3 linked regions of the Callithrix jacchus genome follow. The protein of the gene in region 1 purifies or fractionates together with the protein of each later gene. This does not show direct contact. Links are inferred from orthologs where the notes say so. Each region holds a gene or a part of one and is shown in the gene's direction. Other genes may lie near its edges.

Region 1 (3,646 bases):
CCCCACCCACTTGCCCCTCAAGTCCCCTTGACTGCCATATCTTCTGTGAGGTGGTTCTTGGTTCTCTCTTTCTTGTCCCCATCAACCCAACCCAGGCTGGAAATGACCATTCCTTCCTCTAGACTCCTGTAACCCTTTACCTTTTCTCTCTTCCTTGAATTACAGTGATTTCATGTATACCTTTCCCCTTTTCCTGCCTGTATTCTAGCCACCTTTTCCCCCTTCTGTTCTCAGTATTGCCTTTTCCACCTATCAGTCTTATAGATGACTGGCTGGTCTGTGTGGTGCAGAAGCAACGAGACTACGTGGATATGGAGCTAGTTCAGACAAGCTGGGGTCGGGGCCCGAGTTGTGACAGCAGTGAGAAAAGGGGGATTGCAGAGGTGGAACCATAATGGAGCTTTGTATAGACGAGGAAAGCATAGTGACAAGGAAGTGCTGTGTGTCAGCAGAAGAAATACCATGGAAGTTTGAGTGCTGTTTCCTCACAGCCGCATGTCCCACCAGAGTAAAGTGTAACCCCTGGATTGTGGTGTATCACCTAAGTATCACATGGCCACTTAAACCATCACGGAGCTTGTGAAGCACTAAAAGAATGCCTTTCAGAGGAAATTGTTATTTGAAGGACTTGGCTGCTGAGTTTCTAGTGTTAGAAAGCACTCTCGGTAACAGATGGCAAGTGAACTACAAATTGGAAGAAACATGGCCCCTGTCATCCTTGGGCAGGGACACATGCAGAGCTACTGTAAGATGATGTTAAATTGATTGTTAGCCGTAGGTCTGGATCTTCCTGAAACATGGGGGCCAGGGCAGGAGGCAGCTGCAGCTGTTTTAGTATGGCTCCTCCTGGCTTCTGGACACTTTATGGGCTGTGTGGCTGCTGGTGACACAGTGCTGCTGTGCTGGACGCTCATATCCTGCCATACCATTACCCTTTACAGTCAAAGCTCTCATGTTCATTTGGGAAGAACAAACAATCCAAAAATCCCAGTTAAGGAAATGCTTACAGACAGCCGGTGCTTGAACTGACTCAGCAGCAGCAAGGCCACATCCCTACCCAGGGAAGGAAGGCAAGGTCCCCGGCTCAGTGCCTTGAATGGTATCTCTGCCTCCAACTTCCCCAGAGTTCCAAAAACTCTGCTAGTCTGGTTGTGTGTGTGTGTGTGTGTGTGTGTGTTTTAACACAGGGTCTCACTTTGTCACCCAATGAATGCCACCCTTTAAGCAGGCAGAACCATCCCCATCCTATAGAGGAGGAAGCCGAAGCTGCCAGGGTCACTCAGTGCCTGTGGCCAAAGCTAGGTCATTTTAGCATGGATTTTTAAAATCTGTGTTAAAAGTGTCATCAGAGGTTAAGGGCTGATCTCAATGTTTGGTTGGAGTAATTAGTCCAATTTTAAAAAATCTCATTTGGAACTCATTTTTTCTAGATAACCTCTTTGTGCCCAACCAGAACGGATACTACTGTCACTCTCAGACAAGCTTGGATAGAGCCCAGATTGACCTCAACGGTCGGATCCGTAACGGCAGTGTCTACAGTGCGCACAGCACCAACTCCTTAAATAATCCTCAGCCCTACTTGCAGGCCTCGCCGATGTCGTCCAACCCCAGCATCACCGGGAGTGACGTCATGAGGCCCGACTACGTCCCATCCCATCGGCACAGCGCTCTGATACCCCCGTCCTACCGCCCCACCCCAGACTATGAGACTGTGATGAAGCAGCTCAACCGGGGCCTGGTGCATGCGGAACGGCAGAGCCACTCGCTGCGAAACCTCAACATCGGCAGCTCGTACGCCTACAGCCGGCCCGCGGCGCTGGTCTACAGCCAGCCCGAGATCCGGGAGCACGCGCAGCTCCCCTCGCCGCCGGCCGCTCACTGCCCGTTCAGCCTGAGCTACAGCTTCCACAGCCCGTCTCCCTACCCCTACCCCGCCGAGCGGCGGCCCGTGGTGGGCGCGGTCAGCGTGCCCGAGCTGACCAACGCACAGCTGCAGGCGCAGGACTACCCGGCCCCCAACATCATGCGGACGCAGGTGTACCGGCCGCCCCCGCCCTATCCGCCCCCCCGGCCCGCCAACAGCACGCCCGACCTGTCCCGTCATCTGTACATAAGCAGCAGCAACCCCGACCTCATCACGCGGCGTGTGCACCACTCGGTGCAGACGTTCCAGGAGGACAGCCTGCCCGTGGCGCACTCCCTGCAGGAGGTCAGCGAGCCCCTCACCGCCGCGCGCCACGCGCAATTGCACAAGCGGAACAGCATCGAGGTGGCCGGGCTCAGCCACGGCCTGGAGGGCCTGCGGCTCAAGGAGCGGACCCTGTCCGCGTCGGCGGCGGAAGTGGCGCCGCGAGCCCTCTCGGCGGGCTCCCAGCCCAGCATTTTTGCCGAGCGGACAAAGCGGGAAGGGCCAGAGGAGCCGGAGGGCTTGAGATACGGCCATAAGAAGTCCCTGTCGGACGCCACCATGCTGATCCACAGCAGCGAGGAGGACGAGGACGAGGACTTCGAGGAGGAGAGCGGGGCCCGAGCGCCCCCTGCACGTGCCGGCGAGCCCCGGCCGGGCCTGGCCCAGGACCCACCCCGCTGCCCCCGCTCCCTGCTCGCCAGGCCCCTGCACATCCTCGAGCCCAAGGTCCACGTCCTGGATGCAGAGAAGAGGACAACGGACAGCAGCCCAGTCCGCATGACAGCAGAGGCCCAGCGGCCCCGGAGAGACGGGCTGCTGACTCCCTCCATGTCAGAGTCAGACCTCACCACGTCGGGCCGCTACCGTGCCCGGAGGGACTCTTTGAAGAAGAGGCCAGTGTCGGACCTCCTCTCTGGGAAAAAGAACATCGTGGAAGGGCTCCCGCCCCTGGGGGTAAGTCGCTCGGAGAGTAGTGCAAGCAGGGAACCGCGCCTTCGACGGGCGCTCCATGCTTCTGCCCTGGCGGTGCTTTCCCTCATCGCTTCCCATGCTTTTCGGCTCCTCTTGTTCTTTTAACTTTCTTCATTCCCCCATGTCACTCTCTTTTTGTCTTTTTTTGAATACATGTAACTTTATATGTGAAATGGCGATCCGCTTGAATTTTAGTAGTTTTAATGAAGATAATGAATTACTATAGATGAAGTGAAAAGGCAAATTCACAGGGCTTTGTGGAAAGGAATGCAAAAGATGAATGAAATGTTTTAGTAATGCAGTATTAAGGAAAAGACAGTTAAGATTACATAACTTTAACCAGGATTGCTTTAGTCGCCCTTTAAAAGTACTGTGGGTGATGCGGCACCCTAGGGGTGCATTTGTTCAGTTTGCTCGAGAGATATCTGAGAGGAGTATACAGGGACGTGTTCTCAGCCCTAATATAATTCTCCAGGTTGGAGTATGTGTGGATTCAGCTTACATATCTTGGCCGTGATTCTTCAGAGTGATTCTGGAGTTGGGAAGGTGGCACTCTGTCAAGGCAAATCCTGAGATGTTCTGGTTTCTTAAATTTAAAAGAAAGAAGAATTCAGCCGAGAATCAGGAAAGTCCCTTGTGGAAGATGCAGTTCTTTACTATTCAGTGTAATAAATAAATAGGATTTAAGCACTTTTAACCTACTTGAAGCAAAATATAAAAAAGCATAACAGCATCATCTCTAGCTGCCATTCTTGGAGCATTTAC
Region 2 (4,143 bases), on another chromosome or scaffold:
TGCCAAGGAGGCCAGGTGCGGTGGCTCACACCTGTAATCCCAGAACTTTTGGAGGTCGAGGCGGGTGGGTCACGAGGTCAAGAGATGGAGACCATTCTGGTCAACATGGTGAAACCCCGTCTTACTAAAAATACAAAAATTAGATAGGCGTGGTGGTGCAAACCTGTAGTCCCACCTACTTGGGAGGCTGAGGAAGAATAATTGCTTGAACCTAGGAGGCAGAGGTTGCAGTGAGCGGAGATCGCTCCACTGCACTTCAGCCTGGTGACGGAGTGAAACTCTGTCAAAAAAAAAAAAAAAAGTGCCAAAGGACTGCTCTCAGTGGAGAGCAGGCAGTGGTGTGGGCAGGGACATCTAGCCTCCCAGACAGAAGGAAAACAAGTGTGGACGTAGGGATAATCTATGGGGGAGTTGATTGGGGAAAAATTGTAGAAATCCATGCCTGAAGGCTTCTGCTTCTCTGAAGTAGAAAACCGGATCATCTGTTAAGTAATGCGGTTCCACTGACTTCTATTTGCACATTAGCCTTTCTTCTAAAAGCTACACATAACCAACAGCACTTCCTAAACCAGTTGACTTTTCTGTATAATGGAGACAGTAGACGCTACTTTATGGGATTGCTGTATGGGTTAATTGTGCCAACACGTGTACTTGCTCAGGAAGTATTAGCTTTATCACTGGGCTGATGTGAGTGAGGGCAGGGGAATGAAGGTTTTGATTAATAAATAATGGACTGCAAGTCTTCGGGTATGACCATGGATAAATGCAGTTATTTACTCTTGCAATGGGTTCTAAGTCAAACCCTCAGCTAGGTCAGGGAGTAGTTATGAACAGCCTACTTTTGCCCCAGGACCTTAAGAAGTCTTGCTCTGGGATCGGCCGCCTACCGGAAAGTCGTGTTCTCAGTGCCCAGCGCGGTCTTAGAACAGCCTCTTCCCAAATCTCAGCGGCGGCCCCGCCCCTTCCACAGGTTCAGGCCCCGCCCCTCCCTGCTATTGGCTGTCCCTCCCATTTGCTCGACCGCTCTCAGGACCCGGAGGAGCGGAGTTTTCTAAGGCAGCCTCCGAGCGCCCTCGCTGCGCATGCTCGGGGGAGGCCGATTCCGGGTCCGGAGTTGGAGGCTTTGGGCTGTCGCGGCGTCGCGCGCGGTGCCGGGGCCGGCGGGGAGGCGCGCGCTCGGGGCGCGGCGCCGGCGACGCTGCCACGCAGCGCGCTCCCGAGGAAGGGAGGTGTGGGGTCGCCTGGGGGTGGCGCGTGGCCGGGGTGGGGGTGGGGGGAGGGTCGGGTGTCGGCGAGCTCGGCGTGCGGGTTCCGAGTGTCTGAGGCGGCCTGGGCTGCCGGGGCCGACGCCTGGGTGGCTGCCGCCGCCGCGCCTGCTAAGAGATGGCGATCTTGGGCGCGGAAGGGTGAGGGCGCCCGCCGCAGGAGGAGGTGTCCCTGCCGTGGCCGCCCGGCTGCCGGGAGCCGACAGCTTCGCGCCGGGTAAGGACTGCGCGGCGCGGGGCTGGGGGCGCAGGACTGGGGAGGCGGGCGGGGAGGGAGGGGGCGCGGGCCCCGAGCCTTGGCCGCGGTGCCCGGCACCCGGCGCCGTCCGCCTGCGGGCGGGACCCTCCAAGGGGCAGTGAGAGGACGGTCCACCCTGCCTTGTCTGCCTTCTCCGCCTTCTCCAGCTCGGGAGCCGGGAGTTTTCTGGGGTGGGGTCACGGGTCTTGCCCAGAGTTGGCCCTGGCACAGGCCTGTGCCAGTGATCCTGAGCGGAGCTAAATGTTTCCGTGACTCTGCAGCCGCGGTTCTTCCTCAGCCTTCTCTTCGGTTTCCTTCACCTTTTCCTACCTCACTCAGAACACAAATATAGGGACTCATTGCCCGTGCCCTGAGTTTTCACCCCAATTTCAATGTTGCAAACCAAGGACTCCAGCCTTGGAATGCCTTTTTCTGACGTGTTTTTGTCACTCCCGGTTCTTCACCGACTCTGCAGCTCCCCTCCCTGCCCCCCCAGCGCAACCCCCACCTCTACCTTTTGTGACCTGGTAGGTCCCGGTGACCTTGCAGATTTTACCAGTCCTTTTTACCAGTCCTTATCTTGTCTGTGACTTACACACTTACCTTTCATCTTCGTTTTCTTTTATAAAATTTTTCATTTTCTTGTTTGCCCCTTACCTTTACGACCTTTAAATGATCAGTCTTGTTCACAGTCTTCTCTGCTCTGTGGATTTGGAGTTTTCTTTGCTCTGGTAATTATATGAAACCTTCATTACCAAAGAAGAGTAGCATCTGTTATAATTTTGACATTCACTCTTCCAGTAAAATATTTTCCAGGGGCTTTTGCTTTCTTTTTCTATTTGAAAAGTTTAACAGTTTTGGTTTTTTTTTTGTATGTAGGTTAATGTGGAACAAGATTTTGTGTTTCTGCTTTAAAATGTTACTGGTAATAGTAATGGGGAAAAAAATAATATCCACAGTTGTCTTTGTTTTCTCCGTTTGGTGATTTTGCCAGAAATACATGGGTTTACAGTTATCTGCAGGTTTTATTTATTTATTTTTTTACAAGAGTTCATGTGTATGTGTAAATCCTGCCTCACCAAATCTGTGTGTATTATGCAAGCAAAGAAAGTCGTTCTTGTATTGTGTGACTTGTTTTTAGCTATCAAGTTGGAAATTAGCTGCGACTAGAAATGATCATCTTTCATAAATAGTTAATATTTTAAAAATGGAAAGTATAATGGCCAAGTGTTTGGATCTACTCAGATTGAAAATTGTAAAGTATGTGAAATAGTTCTTTGGGACCTAGCTTATTAACATTTTCAGATAGTTCTTACCTTAAAATGCAAAACTGCTGGTAAGACCTATGACATCAGGATTTTCAAAAGCAATAATTACTAGTTATGTTTTTTGGAAGTCGGCCTAATAGAGAATGTCACAGATAAAGTCTCTGCCTTCAAAGAGATAGTAATCTTTGCTGTTTACCCCATGGTGGCTGAAATTTCCTTTACTTCCTTGTACAGATGTTAGGCATTTACTGCATAATTGTGGGGGATATTTTGGGGAATACAAAAATGAACTGATTAGCAGTTTCTGCTTTTACACTAATTAGGTAGATAGTGCTATAAACAAATGCCCTATTTGTCTTTTAATATATACGTTTCGTAAACAGTACCAAAATCCTCTCAGAAGTCAACTTCAAAGAGAGTAGAGCTCAGATCTTACTTGGCAAGGTAGGGATAAGAGGGTTAGTTCGTAGAGCTTCTGGCTTCTGAAATCGTGGTTTTGAAGGATCACTATGACTTTGGATAGGCAGGAAAGGTAATCCAAGCAGAGAGGGATCTCTAAGAGAGCACAGAGTTCCTGTTTGGGGAGAGGCAAGTAATTATGTTTGGGTGGAACATAGTGTTATTTGTATTTGGATAAAGGGTGATAAAACATGAAGTAGAAATTTGGAACAGTTTATGGGTTGTTTTTAATGCCAGGCTTATGAACCTTGGATTTACTAGGTGGTGGGGCTTCCACAGATGATTTTGAATTGGGAGTAAAACAATTTGAACACTTTGTTTCAGAGGGATTAGTGGGATAGCAGCCTGTAGTGTGAGTTGAGGTAGGGAGCGTGTGGAGGTAGAAAGACCTCCCAAGTGTTGTAGTCTGAGGTGTGGTGCACGCGAATGGAAAGGAAGAAAGGAAGTAGAATAGCCAAAATTTGATGAGAGGGCAAATGAAGAAAGTAAAAGTAACAGATTCTGATCCAGGTTGGTTGGGAGAACGTGGTACCATTTTGAGCAAAATCATGAAGCTTTACCCTCAGCATATGTGTGCTACTTTACAACCTTTTGGGGATTACTACTTCTTGGTGAAACTTAAGAAATCTGCTGGCCTGGAAAACTTCCATATGTACCTGTGCTTTGTGGCTACAGTTTTAGGAGAGTCCGTGGACCATCTGAAGGTCATCCATGGCACCCATCTCAGAATTACTTGGAGCTTTTTTTTTTTCCTGAGGTAGAATTTCTTTCACTCCTTCCAGGCTCATTGCAACTCCCACCTTCCAGGCTCAAGAGATTCTCCTGCCTCAGTCTCTCGAGTAGCTGCAAACACAGGCACTTCCCACCACACTTGGCTAATTTTTGTATTTTTTTGTAGAGACGGGGTGTCACT
Region 3 (3,397 bases), on another chromosome or scaffold:
GCACGACATGAACCACCCGCCCAGCGGGGAGTACTTCGGTGAGCTGAGGCTGTGGGGCCGGTGGAAAGCAGGAGGGGAGGCTGGGAGACAGAAGGGACAGCTGATATTGTTTCTGCCTGTCCTCAGGCCGGTGTGGTGGCTGTGGAGAAGATGTGGTCGGGGATGGGGCCGGGGTTGTGGCCCTCGATCGCGTCTTTCACGTGGGCTGCTTTGTGTGTTCTACATGCCGGGCCCAGCTTCGGGGCCAGCATTTCTACGCCGTGGAGAGGAGGGCATATTGCGAGGGCTGCTATGTGGTGAGTGGCTGGGGTTGGGGGGCTGGAGTCAGTGGCTGGAGGCCGGGGCTTCCATCCAAGGTGGGAGCTAGAACATCCAAGCCCAGAGGAGGAACCGTGCTAGAAGCCGGGCCGCTGGAAGCGGTGTACAAACAGGAAGGAATTCTGCAAATACCAAGCAAGTAGCTCAACACTGGTGGCTGGAGGGAAGGATGCAGCTCTTAACGAGCGGGGCGTCTTACAGTTAAAGAGAATGTGTTAGATTCCCACCACACCCACGAGGCAGGTATTACTACCAACTCCTGTTTTCCTTTTTCGAAACAGAGTCTTGCTCTCTCGCCCAGGCTGGAGTACAGTGGCGCTATCTCGGCTCATTGCAAGCTCTGTCTCCCCTGGTTCAAGTGATTCTCGTGCCTCAGCCTCCCGAGTAGCTGGGATTACAGGTGCCTGCCACCACACCTGGCTAATTTTTGTATTTTTAGTAGAGACGGGGTTTCGCCATGTTGGCCAGGCTATTCTTGAACTCCTGGCCTCAAGCAATCTGCCCACTCTGACCTCCCGAAGTGCTGGCATTACAGGCGTGAGCCACTCCAGCCCGATTGCTGCTTTTCTCAGAGTGGTTAAATACTTTGTGTAGTGCTAGGATCTGAACTCAGAATCACATGCAGGGGGCTCCAGAAATAGATGGCTGGGCTGTTGGGGTGCCTGGTGGGCTGCCGTGGCTCCCGCTGGCTGCCAGATTTTCCTGCTTTCCTTCCCAACAGGCCACCCTGGAGAAATGTGCCACGTGTTCCCAGCCCATCCTGGACCGGATCCTGCGAGCTATGGGAAAGGCCTACCACCCTGGCTGCTTCACCTGCGTGGTGTGTCACCGCGGCCTCGATGGCATCCCCTTCACAGTGGATGCTACCAGCCAGATCCACTGCATCGAGGACTTTCACAGGTCAGGCCCGGCCTCCACCTCATCTCACAATGTCTGACCTTTCCTGTCTCATCTCATCTCTCATGCCCCAGGACTGTCTCTTCCTGTTTCCAACCCCTGGCCCTCCTTCATTCTTTGTTATTATTATTTTTTAGAGACAGAGTCTCACTCTGTTGCTCAGGCTGGAGTGCAGTGGCGTGATGATAGCTCACTGCAGCCTCCAACTCCTGGGCTCAAGTGATCCTCCTGCCCCAGCCTCCCATGTAGCTGGGACTACAGGTGCACATGCCACCATGCCTGGCTAGTTTTCTTATTTTTTGTTTCTTTTGACATGGAGTCTCAGTCTGTTGCCAAGGCTGGAGTGTAGTGGCATGATCTTAGCTCACTGCAACCTCTGCCTCCAGGGTTCAAGTGATTCTCCTGCCTCAGCCTCCCAAGTAGCTGGGATTACAGGCACGTGCCACCATGTCCAGCCAGGCTTTTTTTTTTGTATTTTTAGTAGAGACAGGGTTTCATTATGTTGGCCAGGCTAGTCTCAAACTCCTGGGCTCAAGCAATCTGCCTACCTCAGCCTCCCAAAGTGCAGGGATTGCAGGCATGAGCCACTGCACCTGGCCTTCTTTGTTTTTTAATAAAGATAGGGTCTTGCTCTGTTGCCCAGGGTGGTCTTGAAAGCCTGGCCTCAAGTGATCCTCCTGCCTTGGCCTCCCAAAGTGCTGGGATTACAGGCCAGAGCCACTGCGCCCGGCCTCTCTCATTCTCCTTGACATCATCCCTTCCCCAGACCTAAGGCCACGCCTCTGGCCTCTGATTCCCTCCAGTGCCCCACCTTCTCTGGGTCCCATTGTTGGTGCCCTGCAACGCCAGGGCTTGATGGCCTTCTCGGTTCTCTTCCCCTCCAGGAAGTTTGCCCCGAGATGCTCAGTGTGTGGTGGGGCCATCATGCCCGAGCCAGGTCAGGAGGAGACAGTGAGAATCGTTGCTCTGGATCGAAGTTTTCACATTGGCTGTTACAAGTGTGAGGTCAGGGGGCCCCAGCATGTGCAAGGGGTTGGCAATGTCTGGGGTGCTGGGTAGAGCATGAGGGAGGGGGAACACAGAGGTCTCTGGTTGACAGAAATCTGCTTTTTTTTTTGAGATGGAGTCTTGCTCTGTTGTCCAGGCTGGAGTGCAATGGCGTGATCTCGGCTCACTGCAACCTCTGCCTCCTGGGTTCAAGTGATTCTCTTACCTCTGGAGTAGCTGGGATTACAGGCACCCACCACTATGCCCAGCTAATTGTTGCTTCTTTTTCAACAGGAGTGTGGGCTGCTGCTCTCCTCTGAGGGCGAGTGCCAGGGTTGCTACCCACTGGATGGGCACATCTTGTGCAAGGCCTGCAGTGCCTGGCGCATCCAGGAGCTCTCAGCCACCGTCACCACTGACTGCTGAGTCTTCCTAAAAGTACCTGCTGGGTTCTCAGTTCCAGTTCCCATCAGTTGATGGGTCACCCTCCCTGACATCCACTTGTGTGACTTTGTCACCAAATGCTGGCTTCTTTCTCCAATCACAAAATAATAGTCCCTCGAGTTTACAAAACACTTTCCAGTCTGTCGTCTCATCTGATTCTCCCAGGAGCCCATTACAAGCCCAGTCGCTGTTACTGTCTATTTTTACATGTGAAGATGCCAGAGCTGAGAGGTGACTCCCCCAGATTGCATGCTTTTTTTTTTTTTTTTTGAGACGGAGTTTTGCTCGATACCCAGGCTGGAGTGCAATGGCGTGATCTCGGCTCACCACAGCCTCTGCCTCCTGGATTCAGGCAATTCTCCTACTTCAGCCTCCTGAGTAGCTGGGATTATAGGCACGTACCACCATGCCCAGCTAATTTTTGTATTTTTTAGTAGAGACGGGGTTTCACCATGTTGACCACGATGGTCTCGATCTCTTGACCTCGTGATCCACCTGCCTCGGCCTCCCAAAGTGCTGCGATTGATTACAGGCTTGAGCCACTGCGCCCAGTGGTTTTTTTTTTTTTTTTTTTTTTTTTGAGGGAGTCTTGCTCTTGTTGCCCAGGTTGGAGTGCAATGGTGTGATTTTGGCTCACTGCAACCTCTGTCTTGTGGGTTCAAGTGATTCTCCTGTCTCAACCTCCCAAGTAGCTAGAATTATAGGCACCCGCCACCATGTCCAGCAAATTTTTGTATTTTTAGTAGAGACA

Evidence for each region.
Region 2: the proteins of PTPN21 (region 1) and WWP1 purify together in Homo sapiens (affinity purification with mass spectrometry; 3 studies listed by BioGRID). This does not show direct contact. The link is inferred for Callithrix jacchus from reciprocal best matches to the Homo sapiens genes PTPN21 and WWP1.
Region 3: the proteins of PTPN21 (region 1) and TRIP6 purify together in Homo sapiens (affinity purification with mass spectrometry; 3 studies listed by BioGRID and IntAct, with this or other methods). This does not show direct contact. The link is inferred for Callithrix jacchus from reciprocal best matches to the Homo sapiens genes PTPN21 and TRIP6.

What each region holds. Positions count from the first base shown.
Region 1 is NC_133509.1:123,329,036-123,332,681, reverse strand, and holds part of PTPN21 (tyrosine-protein phosphatase non-receptor type 21), read left to right. Parts: intron 1-1,430; coding exon 1,431-2,863; intron 2,864-3,646.
Region 2 is NC_133517.1:40,734,706-40,738,848, reverse strand, and holds the start of WWP1 (NEDD4-like E3 ubiquitin-protein ligase WWP1), read left to right. Parts: upstream 1-1,313; 5' UTR 1,314-1,482; intron 1,483-4,143. UniProt on the Homo sapiens protein: E3 ubiquitin-protein ligase which accepts ubiquitin from an E2 ubiquitin-conjugating enzyme in the form of a thioester and then directly transfers the ubiquitin to targeted substrates.
Region 3 is NC_133503.1:12,852,394-12,855,790, reverse strand, and holds the end of TRIP6 (thyroid receptor-interacting protein 6), read left to right. Parts: coding exon 1-38; intron 39-126; coding exon 127-296; intron 297-1,039; coding exon 1,040-1,218; intron 1,219-2,099; coding exon 2,100-2,220; intron 2,221-2,496; coding exon 2,497-2,628; 3' UTR 2,629-2,777; downstream 2,778-3,397. UniProt on the Homo sapiens protein: Relays signals from the cell surface to the nucleus to weaken adherens junction and promote actin cytoskeleton reorganization and cell invasiveness. Involved in lysophosphatidic acid-induced cell adhesion and migration.